Linked DNA regions of Caenorhabditis elegans. The protein of the gene in region 2 purifies or fractionates together with the protein of the main gene of each other region. This does not show direct contact. Each region holds a gene or a part of one and is shown on either strand. Other genes may lie near its edges.

Region 1 (8,244 bases), on a different chromosome or scaffold from region 2:
AAAAATGCGAAGAAATTGTGAGTACGGTAGCTTTGAAGTTTCGGTCGTGTCGGGACCTAGAACAGTAGTTTTTGTACCAAAATTCAATAAATTCTGGAACCAAGAGTGAAAATTGCAAAGACTAGATTAAGTTGTGTGTTGTTTCAAAAATATAAAAATACGAATTATTATTTCAATCCACGTTTATTCATGACTATGCTTTTGAAGATATTTAAGAGATCACAATAAAATTTGAACAAAGAAAACAAGATATTTCAACAGAAAAAGATCATCCATTAAATGAGTCAATTCGATTTCTTGACTTTTTGTTCCATGAGCTTGATGGCTTCTTTGATAACTTCATCATCTTCTTCATTTTCATCCATTTTCGTCTTTCCTCCATTCAACTTTTTGAGAAGTTTGTCTCTTCGACTTTGAATCAATTTTTGTTTTTTCATTGATTGTTTGACTCTCCAATTGAACATGAAAACCACTAAAATTAATGGAATTGTAAGAGCCAACACCGATTCGACCGTATAGAATGGGTGATCCAAAATCATCCAATACAACTTTTGAAACTGATTTCGTATATTATTCATCTACAAAAATTGAGAGATAAAAAAAAGTAACTTAAGAAAAATTAAAATGAAGTAGACAGAGTCTTTACACTGAAAAAGTCTTTACTATTCATAAAATGGATACTGAAGTTATAAATTAAAACTTTATTGATAAGTACAAATTTGTCGTTTTATTGGTACAACGAAGCTGAAATCACAGAAAATACAGAAAAAACACTGAGATGATAGAGACAAGAGTGTGAGAGAAAGAAAACGGAAAACCAGGTCAGTTGTTGGGAGGATAAAGCAAATAAGAGGAGGAGCGACACTTGAGCACTTCAGCAACCCGTATGGAGGACAAGTGAACTGTACTAGTTGAGAACAGACGATTGGCTGATTTCTTCCCAGTGCATATCGGTTGGAAGTCGTGCCTTGATTTCTCGTCTGAAATTGGCACAATTTGAATATGAAACAGATATTCGTAAAATACGTTTTTTGTGACAATTAACTTTAAAGGCACACGTCACTTTTCTGAGCGGGTCTCGCCACAATCACAGCAGTAGTTTAAAAATTTGTAGAATTTAATAGTAGCCAATTTTATATAGAAAATTAAATTATGAAATTACATATTAAGGGAACAATAAATCATGAGAATGCGTACTTGGTGCATTTTATTTGACGCGCGATATCTCTTAGCGAAAAATACAGTAAGAACTCAAATAACAATAGATATTTAAGCTCTTACTGTAGTTTTCGCTAAGAGATATAGCGCGTCAAATAAAATGCACTAAGTACACATTCTCATGATTTATTGTTCCCGTAATATATTAAGCTGTTCAGAAATTTCCTGAATTTACCTCAAAACGGTATGATTATATATTTTTTAATTGGGCTCTAGCAAAAATGTGACCGAAGAGAAACAAATCTATAAATATTGGATACGTACCTTTCTTCATAGTCATCAATACTAACTCGGAAAATCGAAGAAGCAAGTCTTAGTCCGAGATTTCCGTAGTAGCAAAACCTCCTTCCAGATGCTACAAAACATTTCCACATGGTGCATAGAATTATCTCTCGGAAAATTCCCCTGAAACAATTACGACGATTTATGGATGTTATTTTCGAGAAGTTTGATTCTATTTCGCTGTTTGAATTGGAGAAAGATAATTTTAAATATTTGGAAACTTCGAATTCATTTAATCAATTATTTCAGTTTCATTTTATGAACATTTCTGGATTTTGTTACAGTTGTATTTTCTATTCCCATCTAATAATACGAGAGGAGAAAAATAAAACAATGTTCAAATTTGTAAAACCCCATGATAGTTTTTTTTTCAGATATTCTTACTTTGTTCCGTTCATCATTCCAACGAAACCGGATACAGTTCTCCATGTTATCCATAAATCAACAGTAATTTCCAGCAAGCCAAACTTATCGATTCCAAAGCGAGGAATTGTCCAGGATTTCCATGATTTGAGTGTTAATTGTTTTTGATATCGTGTTCTGGAAATTGGAATATTCAGAAATTTTCTTCAATAAACTTTAATTAACGTACTGGCACTGAATACACATAACTTGTTGTACAGCATTCGCTTTCGAAAACCACATGGCCAGGCATTGATGATGAACCCACTGAAAAAAAAGTTGGAGTGAAAAACTAGAATTATTCGCGAAAATCGAACAGTTTCTCAAGGTTATAACAAAAATTTTTCAAGGTTCCTGAACTTTCCTAGTTAATTTTAATATCAATTTTCGCAATATTTATTTTGATTCGATAAGCATATTGATTCATGTATCTCTTTTTTAATTTAACACTCATAAATTTAATTTTTCTATTCAATAAGCATAAAAAACATTTTTCGAATATGAAATCTCACGTGAATAGATCCTCGACATCGACACGGATGAACGAAGCTTAACGCATTATCACTTTCCGTTCCGAAGCAGAATTTACAATATTTCTCGGTTTCCTGCTCATTTCCGTCGATTTCTAACGCCATCTTCCGTAACGGTTTGTTTATTTGTTTTTTTTTAATATAAAATCTGATTTCCAAAGAGGAAACCGGATTTCTTTGGTAGATACTTGAAAAGCGATGTGATGAGGGAGAAATAGCGTGCAAAGAGAGGAGAGTTGTGTCGATTTACGCGAGTTGGAACTATGGCAGGCAACTTGTCGCTACGAGACCCATTGTCTCTTGGCTCAGCCTAAATTTATATCGATTTTTCGGAAAAAAACAAACGTTTTGTTGTTTTTTAAACTTGATTTTTGTTTCATAGGTTCAAAATTTTAAATTTCGATCAATATTTATTTCTTCAATGTTTTGAAATCAGGCATTTCGAAATTTATTGATTTCCGGTTGCGAAATTGGTTAAGACTTTGTTTACTTTCTGTTCTGACTGGCGATATCTTTGGAATTTACTCATAATTTTTGTTAAGTTCTTACAGATTCACACGGACTAAACGTAAAACCACTTCTATGCGATTGTATTTTATAGTTTTCATCGATCCATGTAATTTCTCTCGGTGTGCACGTTCTTTAAATTCTGTCGATACATGCACATCTTCTGCTCTTGAGTATGAAGGAGACGATGTGCAGTCATTTTTTATTGTTGACATCACCAGTTTAAATAATCGATATTCTAAACGCTGCGTTCTGCACTTTTTCTGTTCTTGCTATCTGTAGAGAAAACACTTTTACCTTCACTCTGCTCTTATTTTGAAAAATAACGTTATTCCTCCTCCCTCAATTTCCCCTTCTCTAATTATTCTCTATCGTTTTTTATTTTATTAAAACTCTTTTCAGTGACTTCCTCAAACTGAAAGATTATGTCAAACGCTGTTAGTAGGGGGCCTGGGAGAGGGAAGCCGAATCAAGGTAAGTGCTCACGGTTTTTGTCAGTTTTCTAATTCCTTCAAGGTTTTCATTCAGATCACAATGCAGTTCCTATGCAGGATTCATCCCAACAATTCGTGATGCCATTTGTTAACACATCTGGCCCAGTGAACTCAAAGTAAGAAGTTGAAAATATTTTCCATGGCTAAAGTTCTTTTTCAGCTATCAAAGAATGCCAATGAACCAGTCGGCGTATCCACAATATGGCCAACAACAATACAACCAACCACAAACAAATCACTATTATCCGCCACAAGCACCACAGCACCAGCAACAATAGTAAGTTTTTTTTTAAATATTAAATATATTTAGCTTATCATTTCCAAAATTTTACTCACACTGAAAAATAAATTTTCTTAAAAATATGAGTATCCCAAACGCTTACTTCTGTTACCTACCAGTTTTTCATGAATATCATTTTCAGTGGTGGATATCAGCGACCGGACTATGGTCATCAACCACAGATGTACAATCAACAGTACCAAGGCTACCAAGCTCCTCAGCAATACCACCCAGAAATGCCATATCAACCAGCTCAGCCAGCACAACAACAGATGACTCATACAGCTCCACAAGAACCTAAACGGCAAAGGAAAGCACTGGAAATTGTCGATCCAACTACGAAAAAGGCAATTGAAGTGACGCCTCATCTTGCACCAGCTGCACCAGCGCCAGCGGCTCCAGCAGCCCCGATTGCCCCAGAGGAAGAAAAGAAAAAACAAAACATTACTTTAGAATTCTTGAATCAGGTCAAAAATGAACTACATCATGAAGACAGACGACATGATAATCCTCCTGCGGTCCCAGCTGCGGTCCCAGCTGCGGTGCAAGCTGCTGTACTTCCCAATTTTAGCGTACCACCGCCAGCCCTGGGACAGACACCTCCAGCAGCATCCATAGCTCCACAAGTTGTACCGTCCGTTCCGAAAACTCCAGAAGCACCAGCAAAGGCTGATTACGAAGTAAAACAAGCAGAAACCCTTGTGACGCCTGTTTCATCTCCCCATGCATCAGACACAACCACCACTACGCCCGCCAGTGGAACTGCAGAATCAGCATCTACTGTAGCTGATGTCAGAGTTACTCCAACACTGACAAAGGAAGAATCAAAAGAGGAAACTGATGATGATAAATTTGAGGAGAATGATGAAAGAGAAAGTACGCCAGACGTTGCTGACTCTTCTACAGAAAAGACTCCTGAGGAGCTGGAAATCGAAAAAGCACAGAAAGAAGCCGAAGAGATTGAAAAGAAAAAACTTCGCGAGGAAGCTTTAGAGAAAAGAATCGAGGAGCTTATCCTGGCCGGAAGTGCTGTCATCTCGGATGGAACTTTTGGAAGAGATTTCATGGTTACTATTCGCGAAATTGAAAAAGTTTTCTCTCGGACCCCATGTCCACTGTCACCAGCTCAGCTAGCTGATTTCGGATTGGATATCAAAACGATGCGAGTTTCTGATAATAAGAAGCCTAATTTCACACCAAACTGGGCAAACAAAGGAGGAAACCGCCAGCAGGTTGTAAGTTATCATTATTTAATAAAAGCCATAATTCAAACAATATTGTATTTTCAGCCATACCGTGGAAGAACAACCACAGATGGAACCGGGCGTGGCGGTCAGCAGCAAAGAGATCGTATGCACAACAAGCGACCACCAGTTGTTAGACCTTCGATTGAACGAGTTCAGAGAGTTACACTTCCATCATCGAAAGATGCATGGAAGCCAGACCGTCAAAAAACCGCGGAAGCTGTTGCAAGCGAGGAAGCTGCGGTTATTGTAAGTTATTCGTGATTAATCAAAACTATAAACTGTTAAACCAAATTTCAGGAAGTTTGTAAGAAGGTTCGGTCTCTTATGAACAAGGTGACGCCTACATCACAACGTCCTCTCACCGAAGAATTCATTTCCTACAATGTATCCTCCAACGATGCGCAGCTCGCTCAAGTTGTCGAAATCGTCTTTGACAAGGCAGTTGAAGAGCCAAAGTTCTGTGCTTTGTACGCTGAAATGTGTAAGGCTCAGGCGAATCATGAACTATCCCAGACCGGCGGAAAGTCAGCCTTCAGAAATAAGGTTTTGACTCGGACGCAGATGACATTCCAGGATAAAAAAGACATTGATGCAGACAAACTGGCAATCATCGAAAAAGAAGAAGATCCAGTGAAAAAGGAATTGATGCTTGCAGAGGAGAAACAGAAATTTAGACGGAGAAAGTTCGGAGTTATGACGTTTATGGGTTATCTGTATAGAAATCAACTTTTATCCACAAAAATCGTCCAAACGTGTACATTCGAATTGTTCAATTCGATCAAGGACCAAGATATTAAAAAAGAGGATGTCGACGAGGAATCTATTCACTGTGGTCTTCAACTCATCGAGACTGTAGGCGTGATGTTGGATAAATCAAAAGATTCCACGACCGTATTCCTTGATCAATGGTTCCAGAAGTTGGAAGCTGCCAAACCTTACTGCTCAAACAAAATCCGTTTCATGATCATGAATCTTATGGAGCTTCGCAAAGACAAATGGATTCCAAGAAAATCTACCGAGTCTGGACCGAAAAAAATCGATGAAATTCACAAAGATATTCGTCAAGAGAAGATTGAAAATGAGAAAGCTCGTGATCAATATGATCGGGATCGTGATCGTCGTCATGGAGGTGTCAGACCAAACAGCAACTCTCTCAGAAAATCAGTTCCAGTCTCCAGGAATTCATTGGATAGGAACCGAGGAATGCAACACCCTGAACAAAAAAGAGCCGCTGCTGCAGCTAACACAAAACTTGCCTCATCGAGTAAGTATTTTCAGACAAATATTTCTTCAATATTAATTAATTGCAATTTCCAGGTGTTCAACCCAAAAACATCTCGCTCTCTTCGATGGATAATAATACTCTTGGGAAGAGCAAAAAAGAGTGGCATTCTGGTGCTTCTGGTGGAGGAAACACTTCTTCCGAATCTGCCGTTCCAGTCAAATCAGCTTGGGGGCGACGTGATTCCAATGATCAACGCAAAAAGTCGACTGTTGACGAGAAACAGGCCGCTTTAGCTGCTGCAAAGGAAATCAGTGCAATGTCAATTTCTTCGCGGCGATCCACATCACAAAATTCGAATACTGACAAGACCGACGATGAGCTGACTGAAGAAGAGAAAGCTGTCAGAGCCAAGATTATGAATACCGTTAAATCCGATCTTCTAGAAATGTCTAGTGGTGAGCTCTCCCAAAAGGAATTGGTTGACTCTATCACCGATTATGTTGGAAAAGAAAAATACGGTTCGCCGTCATTGACAGTAGTCTATGAGATGATTATCCGAGCTGTGATCGAAAAAGGTTTGAAGGATGATGATCGAAAGAAGTTGGCTATTGCTCTGCGGATGTCATTGGTCAGCAAGACTGAGAAGCAAGCTTTTATAGAGGGGTAAGGCAAGAGTTTATGATTTATTGAGCTTTACAAATTATTTCAGAGCTACCCGTTTCTGCAAATTCGCTAATGATGTTGAGCTCCAGCAAGATTATCCCAAATTGTGGACCGTTACTGGTGAAGTTCTCGTGAACACAAGTCATGCTCCACATGACGAAATTGGAGAAGTTGAATCTTTCTCATTAGCGGACATGAAGCCAATTTTCTCAGCTGCCAAAGGAGAAGGAAATAAGAAATTTGACCTTCTTGTTCAAGTTTTGAAGCAATTGGTGAGTTATTGCAAATTTTAGTGCTCAGATTCAGTACATTGCGTTTATTTTTTTAATTTAATTTTTTTCAGATCGAGCTTGAGCTTGAAGTGACTGGCGCTGCAGAAGGAATCTCGTGGGAGTTTTCGGACATGAAGTTAAAGACTGAGATGGAAGAAGGACTTTCAGCAGAAATGGAAGCAGTGACGTTTAAAAATGGAAAAACGTTGTCGAGCTATTTGACGGGCAACTAATTTATCGTATTTTTGGATTTTCAAACTCCACAGTAGATTTATAGAGAACTTTTTTGTGTGCTAAAACCCATTTTAATTATCTATATAAGAACGAGTTGTTGATAATACGGTCTAAACATGTCAAGTTTTTCGTTTTTTCGCCGCGCGTCCATCCCTACCGATTTTATGTCTTATTGGGTATCCCATTAATGGTTTTCGATATTATTGCTTGTTTTTCTTTTGTTAGAGGTTTGCAAGAAAAGTTTCAAAATGAATAACTGATTATCATGATTTAGCTGAAGTAAATCAATTTTCAGACATTCAGATCATTTTTCCTGCAAACTTCCGCTCATTCTACAACTCGTCTCGAAACGTGAAGATTCTCTTCATTTTTCGTTTCGAGACGCAGAAATCAACTCGTTATAGCCCCTTTCCCACCCACCTTACCCTTTTCTTCTGATGATCACTAAAAATATCACGTTTTCCTCCAAATCATTAAATATTTATATCCTCATTTGGATTCCCGTTTCGTTTATTTGCTCCCAGTTCCCATTTCTTTCATTCGTTTTTCTATTTGAATAACCCTTTCATAGTCTCCTTGTTTATTGTTTCTAAATTAGCTGTTGGTTTTTTATTGGTTTCTCCCTTCATATTTCCATACCAGTTGGTCCCGAGAACATTTCTTGCTATGCTTGTTTTCGTGCTTAAAGGGTCTTTTCTAAGAGACGGTCGAAAAGTCGCTGAATTTTTTCGGAGTGCTGGAATTTCGTTGAATTGCATCGAATTTATCGTAAAACGAAGACTTTTGACTAGCTCTTAGCTTCATTTCTTTTCCAAATTTCCTAATTGTGTGTAAGTCAGTGCCTTCGGTCTGATTCCTGGATCTTCTAGAAATTGTGACAATTGGTTAAT
Region 2 (7,976 bases):
GGACAAATCCATCGGTTTTACAACTAAAAACGAGCCGCGACGCGACACGCAACGCGCCGTAAACCTACACAAAATCTCGCAGACTCAAAATGGCCTAGTTCGGCAAACTCTGCCATTTCGATTTATGAGGGAGGCCAGAATTCCGTGATTTTCCCATTTCTCACGGCCTCTCTAAATTTCACGTTTTTCAAAATTCATCTTTTTCTCTCTGCTCTCTCACTCTCTCACGTGAAATATTACTTTCTGAATAATAATTTGTGTTTAATTAAATCAAATTTTATTGAAATAGAATTCATGATACACGATCTTGAGAAGAGCTCTGTCCTCCAGGCTGCGAACTGGAGCGTAGAAAGTTTTCATATTGTTAAAAACTGCAAAGAAATGTTCGATTCCTTGTTCTGACGTGTGATGCTTTCTCAAATATGGAATTAAATGACAGACAAGGAGATGAAGTTTCGGAGTGACTCATTATTTCATCAGTTTCATTAGGAAAAACACTCTTTATTTATTCAAGGAACTGTTAAAGCAAAACTTCAATTTTGTCAATCTCTTGGTCTAAATACGTTCTATCGTTAGATAAATCTAACTATCTAACTGAAACGAGTACAACTATATTGTAACGCAAAAAAGCTAAGCGCCATAAAACACAAGTAAAACAGGCTCCAGTAAGCCTAAACTGTTTTTACTATAAAAAACCATTGTCATTCACCTACCTACCAAATGCCAATATAATTGGTTGAAAAAAATTAGTTTAATCTCCTCGCAAGATTTTTTTCTCCGAAATTTAAGATTGGGCGCTTAGTGATATCATAACTCTGCAGCCATCAGAAAAACTGAAATGTATTTAAACTGTAAGTTTTAATCGTTTTATGAGGATTATTTCTTTAGTTGACAGTTTTTTGATAGCTTCTTTAGTTATTGAGCTACGGGCTTCCAAACAAAACCAATCAAAAACCACTATAAACCACAATGTCCTAAAAGTGAAATTACTCAGTCAATTTTTAACCAAATCACGGCATTAATGTCTTGATATCTTCATTGAACAATTTGTAAAAATCGTAAGGCGGTAGTTTTTTGATAAATGTCATCGTTTTTTAGTAAAATTGCGTTAACCATTCAAAAATGGCCCATTTTTGGTGTTTTCAGGCCTAATTCTTGTTTTTGAAATTCCGGAGCCAGTTTTTATCGAAAATTTTTGTGCAATGTCAAAAAATGACCGGAAAAAAATTCTCTACAATCGTAAGGCGGTACTTTTTAAAATTTCGTTTCCATTCTTCCCCAGGGATCCCGTAAAAAACCAATTTTTCGACTAGGTCTCACATTTTGCCCTACAAGAGCATAGTTAATGTTATAAATTTGGATTTTTTGGTCGAATTTGATGAGGTAATATTCAGTTGTTTGTTTATTGTTGGAAAATCTGAAGATTTATCAGCGAATCGCCCGATTTCGCCAATTATGACCAAAAAACCCCTAGTTTAGGATTTTCACGAATGGATGAGTTCATTGATACGCTTCCACGCTGTTTTTGGTTTCATTCAGACGCTACTTGCCTGATCTATCAGTCTAACAATTTTTGTTTAATTTTCTTCACTATCCGCCGTTTATAGTTCGTTCTTCCGTAATCAGTGCAAAATCGGTTCAAAAAACTCACTCTCTCGCCCATGAGAGACGCAGAGACAGTTCATCACGTTATTTTATTTAATTATTGAAATGAAGAGAGGCCGTGATTTCTGCTTTTAAAAAAGTTGATTTTTGGAAAACTTGTCAAACAGCACGTGTATTTTTCTAATAGCTCTTTTCGAGGCATGGGTCGAGCTGAATACACGTGAAACCGAAAAAAGAACAAGAAAAATCGAAACTACAGTACTCCCTAAAGGCGCACACTCTTTTCCATAAATTATTTTGTTTGATCGTCTCGAGACCTGGTATCGTAATCTTGCGAAACAAATCGCGAACTGTCGCATCTCATTTGAAAACTGGGCAAAATCCTTATTTTATGTAAATTGGAGCTCATTTGGCGCTGTAAAATGCAAAAACATAATAAAAAAGTGCATTTCCAGGTTCCCCAGACGAAGAATCCGACGTTGATTCCGGTGATTCAATTTATCGAAAGAAAGTCACCACATTCCGACGACGAAACATAAATGCCCCATTCGGAGTTCGTGTTCCTTTCAGTAGAATGGCCTATAAAGCCGGTTATGGATCAAACAGAATGGGCTATCGGAACACGGGATCCCCGCCACCCCCACAAATAGGTGGCCTCTACGGTGACCGTAATCCGAATCCATATGGCACAGTGAATCTTGGTGGAGGTTCCCCATATCCTGGGGGTCTAGAAGAGTACAATATCCGGCCGGCCGCTCCATTTTCCGGACTGGTCGGAGGAAGTCGATCTGGGTACTACGGGAGCACTGTTGGTATGAGACGGGGTGCCGTTGTGCCGCCTATGAGCTCCAGGAAGACGAAAATTCCACAGACTGAGTATCCACGTAAGTATACGATTTTTCTATGCGCTATAAAATTCTTTAAAATCCGCTATTTTCCAGCTGATTACGCATCTAACGACCTGATGAACAGTTTCAATGGAGCTACAAATTCCGCGATCCCATCACTTCGCGAGCTTGCCACCTATGCGTCACGCTATGGTCCCGCATATCTTCGCGAACGATTCGGAAGCCATGATTCCCAACTTGAGCGTATGCTTTATGGCGGCAGTGGACCACAGATCCCATCACGTGGAGGAGGAATTCCCATAGATTACAACATGAACATTGCTTCGAATCACTGGAACCGAGGAATTGGCTCTCCGATGGGAATTATGTCGCGGGATGTTGATTCCTATCAACACGACGATGCGGCCAAAGCAAACAAAAAGACCACTACCGGCTCGCCGAGCACGACGAGCACACGGAAACCTCGGAAAGCTAGGAAGCCAACCAAGAAGACTGTTGCCGCAGCTCCTTCGTCTAGCTCGAACACATCGACTACGGCAAAGCCTGCAAAAACTGTAAAGACATCGGAGAAGTCTGCCTGAAAACAAGAATAGAATCAATTTTTAAAAATGTACAAAATCAAACGCCCTACAAATCATGTGTGTGAAGAAGAATAATAACTAACATATCTATTTATATTTACCGAATAAATATATATTCATCAATTAACCTGAAGAACAAACGAATTCGGCTACAGGCGTCGATCAGTCTCGAATCTAGTAACAACAAGAGAGCAATACGAAAACCGGTAAATCAATAGGGGGAAGCGAAACAGTAGGTACAAATTGGAGGGGAAGCACCAATACATTAGGTGGGGGGTACGACTTGAAAAATGAGCTGATTTTCGAATAGTTAAAGCGATGATCGTGTCCGAAAAACAGTTCATTTTTCAAGACAACATTGAGACTGGGAGTACGGGGAAGCTCATTTACGGTGAGAGGAATTGGTGAGATCTTTAGAATATGCTTAAGGAGTTGGGGTGGCTGGAGAAGTTCCTGTAGCCTCCGTGCCGGGATTCGATGGAGAAGTCGTTGCGGCTGGTCCCTTTTCCTTCACTGGTGCTGGATCCTTGGCTGGAAGACATATGCGTGGCTTGACAGTCGATGAGGTGCGAGCCGACGAGTCCTTGTGAACTTCGTATCTGGAAATATTTTACTTAGATAGCAAATACTAAAATTGTAAAATTACCTCAAAATCTCAGTATCCGGAATGCTCAATTTCTGCTTCAAAACCTGTCCGATGCGAAGATTGACATCATCGCGAGTAGCATCACGAGTCCACAAGGAAACCTTGTCACCCTTTTGACGAACATTCACGACAGCTCCGCAGATGTAGTCTCCGTACTCGTCGAATTGCTCTCCAACAATAGCCATCAACAGCTCCAACCAGTAGTGATCGAGCAATTGCGTTCTTCTCTGAAGCTTCTATGATTCATTGAATAAAATATATTTCTCAAAACGTACTTGCTTATCGACAACAACCAACCAACGTCCACCTTGAACGTTGTTGACGTCCTCCCACATTGGCTTGATTCCTTCCTTGAACAAGTAATAATCGGATCCCCAGTTCAATCCTCCGGCAGACTGAATGTGATTGTACAGCGACCAGAAGTCCTCGACAGTGTCGAAAAGTGAAACCATCTGGAAAAAATCGATAAAAGACGTATTTAAAAATCTTCTACCTTCAGACAATCCTCCCATTCCTTGTTACGGTCAGCTTTCAAGTACCAGAGAGCCCAGCGATTCTGGAGGGGGTGTCTGGTGAGAAGCTCTGGAGGAACTGAAGCATCGGACGCATTCACATCGCCGGAAGCTGACAATGCTTTGTTTTCCGCTACGGATGTGCTCATTTAGCTGAAAATAGGTAATATTATATACGATTAGAGCTCGGAAAACGATAAAATAGAGAAGAGTATGAATTTGGTTCAAATAACTCGGATTTTATAGGAAATTTTGTTTTACTGCACATTTTCGGCTAGTTTCCAAGCTTTTTAGATTTTTCAAGTGTAATTGGTAACATCGGGCACAATAAATTGATATTAAAGCTTGGAAAACAATAAAACAAAGTAGAAAATGAATTCAGCTCAACTTCGACGAAAAATCATCAAATGATTCGTTTCCCATGAAATTCCTAGTAGTTTTTAAACATTCTAGCTGTTTTTTAATCGTAAAAGTGAAAAAAAAAAGAGCGATTTCCCCGAAAAACCTTGGAAAATGAAGAAATGGAAAGAAAGGCGCGAATCCTGAAATTCAAACACCAGACACACGCAAAACGAGTGTAACCGTAGTTTTTGTCGTTGCGAAGTATCTTGTCTGCGGAATTGCGCCCCCCTTTAAACAAAACAGCGGAAAATATGAAAATTATTTTTGTATTAAAATAAAAATCGAGTTGTTTAGGTAAAATTTTTCAAATTTTATTGAAAATTCGGTAAAATAATGAAATTAATCGCTGAAAACTCGTTATTCGCACAGAAATTGAGCTCTTTCAGGGAATTCAGGCTAAAAAATTATATTTTCAGGTTTAAAATTCAAAAATTTATTTTCCAGATTGCAGTCGATAATCTGAGTTTTCCCAAAAAATGTGCATTGTTTACAGCCTGTGGTTCTCAATTTCTCCAATTTATCCACGAGTGCGTCTCCGTTTTCTTTTCTCCTTCTGCCGCATTCAGCGTCGCCGTCGTCGTCAGGAATTCATGAGCCGTCCCGGTGTCTCGAGCTCTTGTGAGCATACACACAGACACATACAGCAGCAGCCTCCACAACATGCACATATAAATATATCGGTCTGGGTGTTGCTGCTGCTGCCGCTGGGCGCCTTTTCCCTCTCTGTGTGCCTCAACTCGTCGCACATATCTCTCTCTCTCTCTCTCACTTTGCCTTGTTTTCCCTGCCCATCGTCCCGTAAAAAGGTGGCCAGACAGTTCTCCGAATCGCAGAGACGCAGCAAGCGTTGCCCCGAGGCGCCATTCGTCTAACCTACTGCGTCTGACACCCCGCCGTCAGACGACGTCGGGGGCCCTCCGACGACGACTTCTTTCGCTGTATTTCTCTCTCTCCTCCGTCTCCTCCTCCTCTCCACCACATCGATTTTCCCGTTTTAGAGTGTTGGCGGTGAGCCATAGTCACGAATACTTTGTCTATTTTTTCGGCGACGGCTGTTGGGCTTCTCTTCTCTGCGTCTCTCGCACTCTTGTCCGCCTTCTGACCGTCATAATTACCACGTCGTCCACGTAAAGTCTTCGGAGAGCGCCACGCCCCCACACACACATACACACAACATTTTCGTAGCCGCATTATTCTCCTAACAATCATCGTTTTTTGCTAGTTTTCAGTAGTTCCACAGACTTAAAGGAGGATCACCGAAATTCGAGACTTGGCTTTTTGGGACCCAAAATGTTCCAAAACTAATTTCGTAATGAGATGTTCTGAAAATTTCTCAAAAAAAAAAGTTATGACCGCTCGGAAAATGGTATATTTTCAGCTAAAATCTTAAATTTTGACAACTTCTCAGTGTCGCAGCGGTAGGAACTAAATTTTGATGTGATTATCACTTTTTAGTATGTATTTATTTATTTTCATTTCCACTCACACACGCGAAGCCCACAGCATTTGAAATTCTATAGTTTGTTTGCAGAATAGAGGTGTGCGGCACAAAAAGTTTACTGGAAAAAAGTAAACTTTTTTTGCGGCAAAAAAGAGTCGGAAGCTCAATTTTTTCAGACTCTTCTTATATATTTCGACAAAATAATTATGTTATCATTTCCTATTTAAGCGTCTTAAATTGTTCGCATAACAATGAGGAATTCCACGTTATATGGAAACGCTGTAAAAAGATCTCTGGTGAAATCGCGCTCCACGAGCTATTGAAAACGCTCCAAAAAACGAAAACTAGTTTTTTTTTTAATTTTTAAGTTCTTAATACTTTTTTCGACGTAAAATTCAATAAAAACAACGAAAATACCGTATTCCCTCTATTAGTCTTGCATGCAAGACTAATTTTCAATTGACCCGTAGGGGTGCAAGACTAATAGAGACTGCAAGACTATTAGAGGCTGCAAGACTAATTTTCGAAGATCCAATAGCTTTGTAAAATTGATAATTTATCGTCAAAAATTTGACTTGAAACTGTCTAAATCGTGCAAAATACATACTTTTCTATTGTTTTATCAATTATTTGAACACTTTAAAACTTAATTTGGCTAAAAAATGGCGAAATTTTTGAAGTTTTCACAAAATACTGCTGGTCTGGCAAGAATAGGGGTGCAAGACTATTACCGTATGCTCTCTAATAGTCTTGCATGCAATACTAATAGAGGCTGCAAGACTAATTTTCGATTGGTCCGTAGGGGTGCAAGACTAATAGAGGAAATACGGTATTTGAAAATTGGCGAAACATTTGAATTCACAGTTTTGCCGCCACATGCCTAACGAGACCTATGGTTTGGGGGCGGAGCTTTGCCAATTTTCCGTGGAGCGCGTTTCCACATCGATTTCGAATTATGTTTTTTTAAATCTAAACCAATGAAAAATTCAAATTCCTGTGCCTCCGGCTTTTCTCAAATTCAGCCGCGACCAGTGTCTATAACGGAGACTGGAAAATTCATATTTCTCAGATTTTCTACTGAATTTTTAAGTTTTCTATGGATTTTTAAACTTATTTTTTGGTAAAAAAAATAAGTCGAGTGAAATTAAAAATTTATCGAGTTCAAAAACTCGAAAATCGTTCATAAAATTCAAGGTGCTCCACGGCCAAAAAACCGGGTACAACAAAAAATTGGCGGTAAAACATTAAATTCGAACGTTTTCAATTATTTTCAGTAGTTTTTCGATTATTTTTACGCGAAAAAAGGTTATTATCATATACAGCGCATTTTTTCCATCTCTACGACTTTGAAGGGGCGCATTTACGCGCGATCGTCTTGACACGCGCCATTCATAGATTTTTGAGGCGCGTGACGAGACCATGCACGCACTTTTGAACACCTGGTGTCACAGTGCCCCATTTCGGTTTGATCTACTTAGATCTGCGAAAATGCGGGAGTTGAGACGCAGAGTTCTCAACTGATTTCGCATGATTAAGAACATGCTGACGTCACATTTTTTTACGCGAAAAATTCCCGCATTTTCTGTAGATCAACCCGTAATGGGACAACCTGACACCGCGTGTTTGAAGGGGCCACAAACTCGTCGTTTGGCCGTGGAGCGCGTTTGCACCTCGATTGCACTTTTTCGCGCAAGAGCCCATAAGAGGAACTAAGTTATATCAGATTTTCACTGGAACACACAACAACTTCCAACAGATTAGCTTCCTACTCGGTACTCTTTTTTGCCCCCCCTTGCCTCATTGTCTACGGGAGGGGGATCCTCTTGTGTAATACGTTATTAAATTATGCCTGTCAGAGCAGCAACACACACAGACAAGTGAGTCGTCGACTCAAAAAAAGAAGAGAAAATAGAAGAAGAAGTGGATCTTCTTCTTCTTTTT

Evidence for each region. The genes of interacting proteins can lie anywhere in the genome.
Region 1: the proteins of ife-3 (region 2) and ifg-1 purify together in Caenorhabditis elegans (affinity purification with western blotting, with the first as the bait; one study listed by BioGRID). This does not show direct contact.

The regions. Positions count from the first base shown.
Region 1 is NC_003280.10:8,213,890-8,222,133, forward strand, and holds ifg-1 (MIF4G domain-containing protein), read left to right. Parts: upstream 1-3,364; coding exon 3,365-3,413; intron 3,414-3,455; coding exon 3,456-3,549; intron 3,550-3,593; coding exon 3,594-3,710; intron 3,711-3,855; coding exon 3,856-4,948; intron 4,949-5,002; coding exon 5,003-5,206; intron 5,207-5,257; coding exon 5,258-6,224; intron 6,225-6,277; coding exon 6,278-6,848; intron 6,849-6,894; coding exon 6,895-7,120; intron 7,121-7,191; coding exon 7,192-7,353; downstream 7,354-8,244. Other genes in the region: M110.10 (Small integral membrane protein 15), read right to left, coding at 285-578; M110.3 (E3 ubiquitin-protein ligase MARCHF5), read right to left, coding at 908-980, 1,483-1,623, 1,885-2,040, 2,093-2,169, 2,415-2,537.
Region 2 is NC_003283.11:3,478-11,453, forward strand, and holds ife-3 (Eukaryotic translation initiation factor 4E-3), read right to left. Parts: upstream 4,353-7,976; 5' UTR 4,342-4,352; coding exon 4,174-4,341; intron 4,133-4,173; coding exon 3,956-4,132; intron 3,917-3,955; coding exon 3,681-3,916; intron 3,634-3,680; coding exon 3,459-3,633; 3' UTR 3,111-3,458; downstream 1-3,110. Other genes in the region: idpp-2 (Intrinsically Disordered Protein, expressed in Pharynx), read left to right, coding at 2,061-2,489, 2,547-3,034; B0348.10 (uncharacterized protein), read right to left, coding at 5,098-5,262. UniProt on the Caenorhabditis elegans protein: Recognizes and binds the 7-methylguanosine-containing mRNA cap during an early step in the initiation of protein synthesis and facilitates ribosome binding by inducing the unwinding of the mRNAs secondary structures.